Linked DNA regions of Rattus norvegicus. The protein of the gene in region 1 interacts with the protein of each later gene in a pairwise test. Links are inferred from orthologs where the notes say so. Each region holds a gene or a part of one and is shown on either strand. Other genes may lie near its edges. The genes, in order: Zbtb43 and Psmd3.

Evidence for each region.
Region 2: the proteins of Zbtb43 (region 1) and Psmd3 interact in binary tests that used the Homo sapiens proteins (3 or more experiments, as listed by UniProt). The two-hybrid records come from large-scale screens. The link is inferred for Rattus norvegicus from reciprocal best matches to the Homo sapiens genes ZBTB43 and PSMD3.

What each region holds. Positions count from the first base shown.
Region 1 is NC_086021.1:37,144,253-37,148,063, forward strand, and holds part of Zbtb43 (zinc finger and BTB domain-containing protein 43), read right to left. Parts: intron 2,794-3,811; coding exon 1,367-2,793; 3' UTR 1-1,366. UniProt on the Homo sapiens protein: May be involved in transcriptional regulation.
Region 2 is NC_086028.1:84,138,507-84,142,945, forward strand, and holds the start of Psmd3 (26S proteasome non-ATPase regulatory subunit 3), read left to right. Parts: upstream 1-1,431; 5' UTR 1,432-1,575; coding exon 1,576-1,783; intron 1,784-4,318; coding exon 4,319-4,439.

The DNA.
Region 1 (3,811 bases):
TGTCTGGACTGTCAACATTCCCGTTCCTGCTGTGGTTTCCTCCATGATGGTAGTGTGAGCTAATACAAACCCTTTCCTCCCTAAGTTGCTTTGCTCCGAGTGTATTATTCCAGTGATGGAAAGAGCACTAGACCCCTACCCAGCAAGAGCCTCAGAACTGTCACACGCTTAAAAGCTTTCTGAACACAAGCTTTCTTTCCAACCTAAGACGTCTGACCATGCAGAAAAGACCTCAAGGGCAGCCTCGTCCTTGCGGGAGTGAGGAGATGGTGGTGGTGAAGTGTGAGTGTGGGTGTGTGTGCGCCTGCACATGTGTGTATAAACTATTGGGACTTGTAAACGCGGCTTTCTCTGTGACTGGGGAACAGAGTCTCTAGATGATGTTGCTTAATGTAGGCTCCCATCCCCTTGGAAGCCATGTTCCAGCTCTCACAAAGCTGACAATACTGCCTAGCCCACCCTCTACAACAGCACTCCCCACGCCAGTGTTTTTAAGATTCTTTTCTCAAGCCTTCTGTTATAAGTGTCTTGCTCACAGGGAACTCTTAGCCACACATTCTGGCTTAGTCTCATGAGCTGTGGTCCCTGGCTGGCCTTGTTGGGAAGCACCGTGATCTAAGGCAGGGAGCCACAGGCCACTACTAGCCAGCACTGTCGTGTGTCACTGCAAACCGGTCATCTCCTGCCATTAACTGAGGGAAGCTTAGGACAACACACCAACTAGAAAGCTCTGTCTCTGGCACCTGAAGACTTAACCAAACACAAACATAAAACTGTGCCTTCTCCAGAGCCTGCAGCACGGTGACACTGTCTCCTGATTCGGACTCAGAAGCCCCGTCTAATGTCACCATGGCTTTAACTAGAACCTTTAGAACATACGAAAATAGAACAAACAGAGCTCTGCTCGTAGCTCAGCCCAGGAGTCCTCGCTGTAGCCTTGAGGGGAGCAGCATCCAGTGACGCAGCTACCAAAGCAAAGCCCAGAAGCCCTGAAGCTACCAGGAGAACAAATGTAACAAGACCCGGGACAATGGTGACAGCCGGCCGCTGCCACCTGGGCAGGACTGGTGTGAGAGTCTGCCATCCAGTCCCCTGCCTTAACCACTGCTGGCTGGAAGGGCTGTCTTGCCAGCTGGGCACTGGGTGAACTTATCCCCATCATCCATTCTAGGCCAGGATGGGAACATACAGATTTGAGAAATTAAATCTTTTAATTGGCCTACTTAGAGCTGGTCTTTCAGAAATATCTTCCTTTTTTTTTAAGCCTCTCTCATAATAGCAAGTGGCACGCATCATCTGTGCCCAGATTTGCATTAATTACCATAGTTTATTTTTGTGCATGCCACTCAAGGGCCAGACCCTATTTTTAGTTAGCCTCAGTCGTATTCTGCCCAGCCTTTGCAGCTTCATAGGACTTGGTACAAGAAGTCACATGCCTGTGGAAACTGTCCCTCCACATAAATCTCTTTGCACAGATATTACACTCGTAGGGCTTTATGCCGGTATGAATTTTCATGTGGCCCACGAGATGGTGCTTCATTTTGAATTTCTTACCACAGACACTGCAGCCATACGGGCGCAGACCGAGGTGCATGCTCATGTGTCGATCTCGCTGACTTTTGTGCGTGAAACTTTTCCCACACTGACAAGGATACAGCTTGTCGGTGGCTGAGAATCCTAAGTGGGACGCCTCTTCTTTTATCCCCATCACCATCTCAATGTTCTCACTGTAGCCTGCTGCAAGGGCAGTCTCCTGTTTGTGTCCAATTAGACCGCCCCCCAACTTTTCTCCAGAGAACTCCTCCATGGAGGAGCCGTAGAAGTCCACCTGCTCGTCGTAGTTACTGCCCTCTGCATGCTCGTCGAACTCTACTTCCACTTTCTTCTCCACAATCTGGAACTCCTCCTCCGCTCCCGAAGGCTGGGCCGAGTGATCTGTCTGCATGGTGTTGACGGACTCGGAGACCTGGTGCTCATCGTAGGCTGCGTGCACATCCATGCCATCCCAAGGCTGTTCCAGGCGCTCAGGCTTCACATGGATCCAGCGCCTGTGAGGCATGATGCTGGGCTTGCTATACAGAGGCCGGGTGTAGTGGAACTCTGTGCTGTCGTTGGTCCCCTCCTCCCCGTCCTGGCTGGCCATCTCGGTGCTCAGGCGGTCATGCTCCGTGGACGAGTTACTGGGCAGATACTCGTGCTCGGTGACCTGAGATGACAGCTCGTCTTTGGTGCTCTCCTCTTCGTTTTCGCCATCCCTCAGCTCCTGGGCTTTGGGGAAATCAGTGTGGCCCCCAGAGCCCAGCTCAAAGCTCTCGGCCAGGCCATTGTAGTTACTGCTGCTGGGGGACTGGTGGTCACTGCCATGGTTTAGCTTCTGACACAAGACTGTGGGGTTTCCCTCCAGAACCTCGGTGCACTTGTCCACCACATGCCACATCTGGAGGAAGCTGGCTGCTGTTAAGTAACTAACAATTTCTGGAGCAGGCATTACAAGGCGTCCTGTGTAACTAAATAAAAGAATGTTCTCAAACACTCTTGGGTTCATCACATCAGGCAAAACAATTCTCCTACTGTTTTTCAGGAGTACTTGGTCACAAAAGTAGGGTGAACTGGCAGCAAGAACGGCTTTGTGTGCCTGGAAAATGTGGCCTTGGACAACAATGGAGACGTCACATAACTGTCCTTGCTGGCGCTGCTGGTTTAGTTTCTGCAGAATGGTGCTGGAAAAATCTGGAAACTCTACTTGAAAAGAGTTTGTTCCAGGCTCCATTTCATCACCAATCTTGTTTAGTGCTGCAAGAGAAAGAAAAGTTAATACCAACTCCAGCCTCCCCCCAGTACTAAAAACACCAAAGCAAGTTCCCAAGTTCCAGCAAGTCCCTTTGCCTCTGAGCACTCATCCATGGGCGTCCATCCCCTGAGACTGTAGGAGCTGTAGGAGCTGAGGGTCCCAAAAGTAAGAGCCACCCCCTACCCACATAGCAACTCTCCATTTTACCCTGACTGTGGGCAAGGAGCCAGAATCTACTGAGGACGTATCTCCAAGCGTACAAGTCCTCTGAGCAAAGCAAACCATTTCTAACTAAAACAAGCACGAATCTTGTAACTCAACGTAACCCCTGGACTCCCACATTTACCAAAACTAGAGGAAGGAACAACAGGATTGTGGGAGGGTGGGGTGTGGCTGGGGGTAGAGTGTATGCTTAGCACGTACAGTTCTCTAAGCTCCACCCTCATGTATACTCCAAAAGAAAAGGAAAAAGAGAGAGAAGATCTGAATTGTAGGAAGACAGAAATGCCCATGCAAAGGTTCTTTGACAGGAATGAACTAGGTCACAGCCCCATAAGTATGGGACAAGTGCTTGGTTCCCCAGGGCCGGTAAAAGGGTGGGTATGGTAGCTAATGGCTGCAATCCCTAATGCTTCAGGGTGAAGACAGGAGGATTCCCTCACCCCAGCTCTTGGCTAACTAGTCTAGACAATCTAGTTAGCTCCAAGTTCAAAAAAAGAGCAGAGGACAGAAGGATGACTCCTGGCTTCCACATACAAGCTCGCACGTGTGCACATGTACAGACACAATAGGTGACCACTGGACTTGAGTCCGGGAAGAACTGAGGGAGATGGTGCTACAGTCAAGTCAGGAAAATGACAGATTTGCTCTTTTAGCACTAGGAAACGCTCACTGCGGCTGAGCGGCTGAGTCGCTCTTGGGATCATGTACGTTAGCTCCTTAAGGATTTCTGAGAAGACAAAGGCAGGTTTTCTATCTGGTTGTTTCTATGCTACAGAAAGACTTATTGACCTACTAGGA
Region 2 (4,439 bases), on another chromosome or scaffold:
AAAAAATGAAACAAGAGCTGGAGAGATGGCTCAGTGGTTAAGAGCACTGACTGCTCTTCCAGAGGTCCTGAGTTCAAATCCCAGCATCCACAACCATCTGTAATGGGATCTGATAGCCTCTTCTGGTGTGTCTGAAAACAGCTACAGTGTACTTATATATAATAAATAAATCCTTTTTTTTAAAGAAGCTTATGTTTAAAAAACAAAACAAAGCAGTTATGGGGAAGGGAGAATGAGAACACACACTTTAGCACGCTTGTGAGGTCAGAGAAAACCATGTGGGACTCAGGTCTCTCCTTCTACTATGGGATCCACGGATCAAACTTGTGTCTTCATACTTGGCAGCAAGCACCTTTACTCCAACCTTTAGTCATCTCACCACTCAACTTTTTTTTTTTTGAGACAGAGTCTTTTTATGTAGTTCTGTCTGTCCTGGAACTTGCTAGGTAGACCAGGCTGACCTTGAACTCAGAGATCTGCCTCCTTAGTGCTGAGATTAAAGTTGTGTGGCCCTCCATTACATTCCTGAGCTGGTGTTTGTCTGCTTGCTTGCTTGCTTGCTTGCTTGCTTGCTTGCTTGCTTGCTTGCTTGATTTTTCGAGAAACAGTTTCCCTGTGTATCCCTGTTTGTCCTGGAACTCACTCTGTAAACCAGGTTGAGCCTCAAACTCACAGAAACCCACCTGTCTCTGCTTCCTGAGTGCTGGGATAAAAGGTGTGCACCATCACGCTGGGCCTGTTGGGTGTTTCAACAGTCCTATATGTACTGGCCCTGAGCAGTATACAACGTGGACTCCTCTTATTACATTTGACTAATTCTACACAAATACACACTACCCCACACTCCCAAGCTACAGAGATGGTATGTCTTAAATTCAAAACTAGCCAAAAAATTTGACAAGGAAGTTCGGATGCCCTAGGGGTTGAGCTCAGTTTATCGTAAGCCCAACAGCCTAACTACACCTCCACAGGCTACTTTTCTTTCTGGTGCTGGAAGCATCTGGCGGGCGTTGAGAGCACGAGCCTGGCGGATTTCATTGGGGACCTGACCCGTGAAAACTGGGAGAGTTTGACAGGGGGGAGACCGCCCGGCAACTCATGACGTCATCCTCATCTGCGCTCTGATAGGTCCTACCTACTTACGTTTTAGCGTCTGTTGTAACCCAGTTTGAAGTCTAAAGGGACCTCTCGCGGACATTCGAAGATATGCACTCGAGAGGAAGATAAAATCACCACTCTCAAGGCCCACAAATTCCTGTAGGCTCCTTCCACTTCCTAGAAGATCCGTCTTCATCGATTCCTGCAGACTCCTCCCACTTCCTAGAAGATCCGCCTTCATCTTGCACCTCGGCTGTTGATTTCTTTTCCCTTCCTGGACTCGGCCATCTGCTTGTCCTACCTGGCATTTCCCAGAAGCCCCAGCGCCGGGAAGGAGTTTGCAGCTGCTCGGTCATCGTGCGGCCCGACGCGAGCCCGCGCTGGTGTGCAGGCCCGGCTCTGTGCCTGGTCTCTGGTGTGAGGGTTTACGCGAGGCCCCTGCTTCGGTCCCCGGACTAGGCCGCAACCCCGGGCTCCATGAAGCAGGAGGGCTCGGCGCGGCGCCGAGGCGCCGACAAGGCAAAGCCGCCGCCGGGAGGGGAACAAGAACCGCCGCCGCCGGCCCCCCAGGATGTGGAGATGAAAGAGGAGGCAGCAGCTGGGAGCGGCTCCGCGGGGGAAGGAGACGGCAAGGCAGCTGCGACCGAGCACTCCCAGCGAGAGTTGGACACTGTCACCTTAGAAGGTACGGGATCCCAGGTCGGGGTCGTGCCGCGATCACTGGTGACAGCGGCCACGGTGATTCGACTTCTCCCTGGGACCTCTGCGTAACCTCCACCTACCTCGGTTCCGTGTGTTTGGTCAGTGGGGCTGGGGTCAGAAGTGCCCGTTCAACCACACTGACTCTCTGGACCCCAGCCCATGACCGAACCAGTTCTCCAGTCTGCGGACTGTTCTCCTCACACTCCCTCGCCTCATCTGGGGTTGCATTTTAGTTTCGCTGAGTTTTTTCTTCAGTCCTTCCCACTGATCTACTCCATCCGACCGATTCTAGCGCCTGTTATTGATATGTAGAAATCAGCATCTGTATTTGTGTCTAAAGAAGCCAGGGTAACATTACATTGGCCCCTTAGCTTAAGAGTTAAAAAAAACAGAAAAGGTTCTGTAGCTCTAGCCTCCTTTAGTAAACTCCCTCGGAGAGCCATTTCTACCTTGTATTCCTTACTTCTGTAATTGAAGCATCTAAACTGTCCCGGTGCACCTTTTCTCTCTCTCAAAGTTCTTACCCCTCCTTTCCTAAAGAGTTCAAGCACATATACACTTTTACTTCTGAATCAACCTCCCCACCCCTTTGTTTTTTAGTTTATAATGCTTACCTGTGACCCCAACTACTATAAACCAACACCATCCTCATCTTCTTTCTTCCAGAGGCCCATTCTCAGGTTCCTATTGTCCCCTTGTCCCGTTTAAGTTGCTGTTTTGCTTTTTCCACTTGGTATATCTTGTCCATGTTTGAATTGGGTGCGGTGAGACGTCGGGAGTGAGGGGGTCTTCTGTAGCTCGTTCTTCTCTCTCTGTCTGCCTTTCTGTGTCTGTCTCCTTCTTTCAACTGCATGAGAAACTACTTTAAAACATGGAGATAGGCCATGTTATGCCCTGAGTGGTACTTTTGAAGATGTAGGTATGGACCGCATCAACTCCATTCTAAAGTTGGCAACAAGGTCTGTATACAGTAAAGGTCTTCGTACCTGAAATAAAAGTTGCCAGTGGCAAGAGATGTCACTCGGCAGCGCCTGAGTGTGTGTGCATGTGGTAAACATTTCATCGTGGTTTGTATTCACTGTAGAAATTTTGGAACAGGTGAGAATTTTAAAATAACAGGGAGAAAATTTCGACTAGGGTTAACATGTTTCCCTGTGTACTTTCAAACTGTTCCATAATTGAAATCACTCAAGTACATAGTTTGGATCAGGGTATTAGTATGTAAAGATATTGTCTTTTTTTTTGTCTTCATTTAATACGTCCATAAACATAGGGGTCAATTTATTCAAGAGGCATTTGTTGACTACTTAGTATAGTGATGGAGATTTTAAACTCCAGAATCTGTTACCTTGCTTGTGCAGGTGAGTTAATCGCATTCGCTGTTTCCTTGGGTTATTGTGAACATGGTATAAATGCATGGTGAGCCCTCCACACATAGTCGCTGTAACTGTAATAATTACTATTACCCATTGTTAAGTGGGAAATGTAACCAAGAGACGGTCAGTTAATTGCATTCTCTTAATTGCTGCACATTTAAAGTTTTTTTTAAGTAGTTTTGGAGTCATCACTATTCCAAGGTTTTTAATCTACTTTTGTAATTACTTAAATGTAGCTTCCAGGAATTTATATACCTAAGTCAAAAAGGGTAAACACATCTAAATTTAAATTTGTGTGTATACGAGTGTGAGTATTTTAGCTTCGTGGTTGTAAACGTGTGTAGTGTCCACAAAGGCCAGAAGAGGTCATCTGATCCTCTGGAACTGTAGTTAGGGACAGGTGTGAGCCACCATGTGGGTGCTGGGAGTGGGACCTCTGCACAGAGCAGCTAGTGCTCTTAACCACTGAGCCATCTCCGCAGGCCCCAGTTCTAAAGTCTTTTATGTTGTCCTAAAATCTGATCTACAGTATAAAGGTTATTTTCCCTACTGTTTATTATTAGCAATAAATATTGCTAATTTACTAGTATAAAATGTTTCCGTTTCAGATCTTTGAATGCTACTGAAGTACATTTCTGTCTCTCAGCGCTTTGCTGTCCCTGGTTATGCGCACGCCCACTTTTGTTTTGAAGTTATAGCAGTAATTTCTCTCACCCAGTTACATCAATTCTTTGTGAAATGAGATGTGAATCTGGTCATATTGTTCCACGTTTCTTTTCAGAAGTCTTTTTTGTAGTTACATTTCCAGTGTGTCTGTCTCTGAGATTTCTCCATTATTTACAAAGTCCATGTTTTAAGCTCTAGTGACTCTCCCCGTGTTTCTTCTACTTTGCCTCTCAACTTTTCTAGGCCTTTCTGCTATCCTCTACCCTGTCCCCTGCCCAGCCAGCTTTCTCCTTGTTTGCTGGTTATGTCTGAAAATTGGTGTGCCGCATCCCTAAGTATTGGTTAGCCCTATTGGGCTGGGAGGAGTAAATGCCCAAGCTACCCCTTGGTAAGACACTCTGTGGAAATGTTCCTCAGAGTGCTGGAGAAACCTGAGGAATTGCAGGTAACATCTTTTTCTCTCTGGTCCTCTGCAGACATCAAAGAGCATGTGAGACAGCTAGAGAAGGCTGTTTCCGGCAAGGAGCCTCGGTTCGTGCTGAGGGCACTGCGGATGCTGCCATCCACGTCACGACGCCTCAACCACTATGTTCTGTA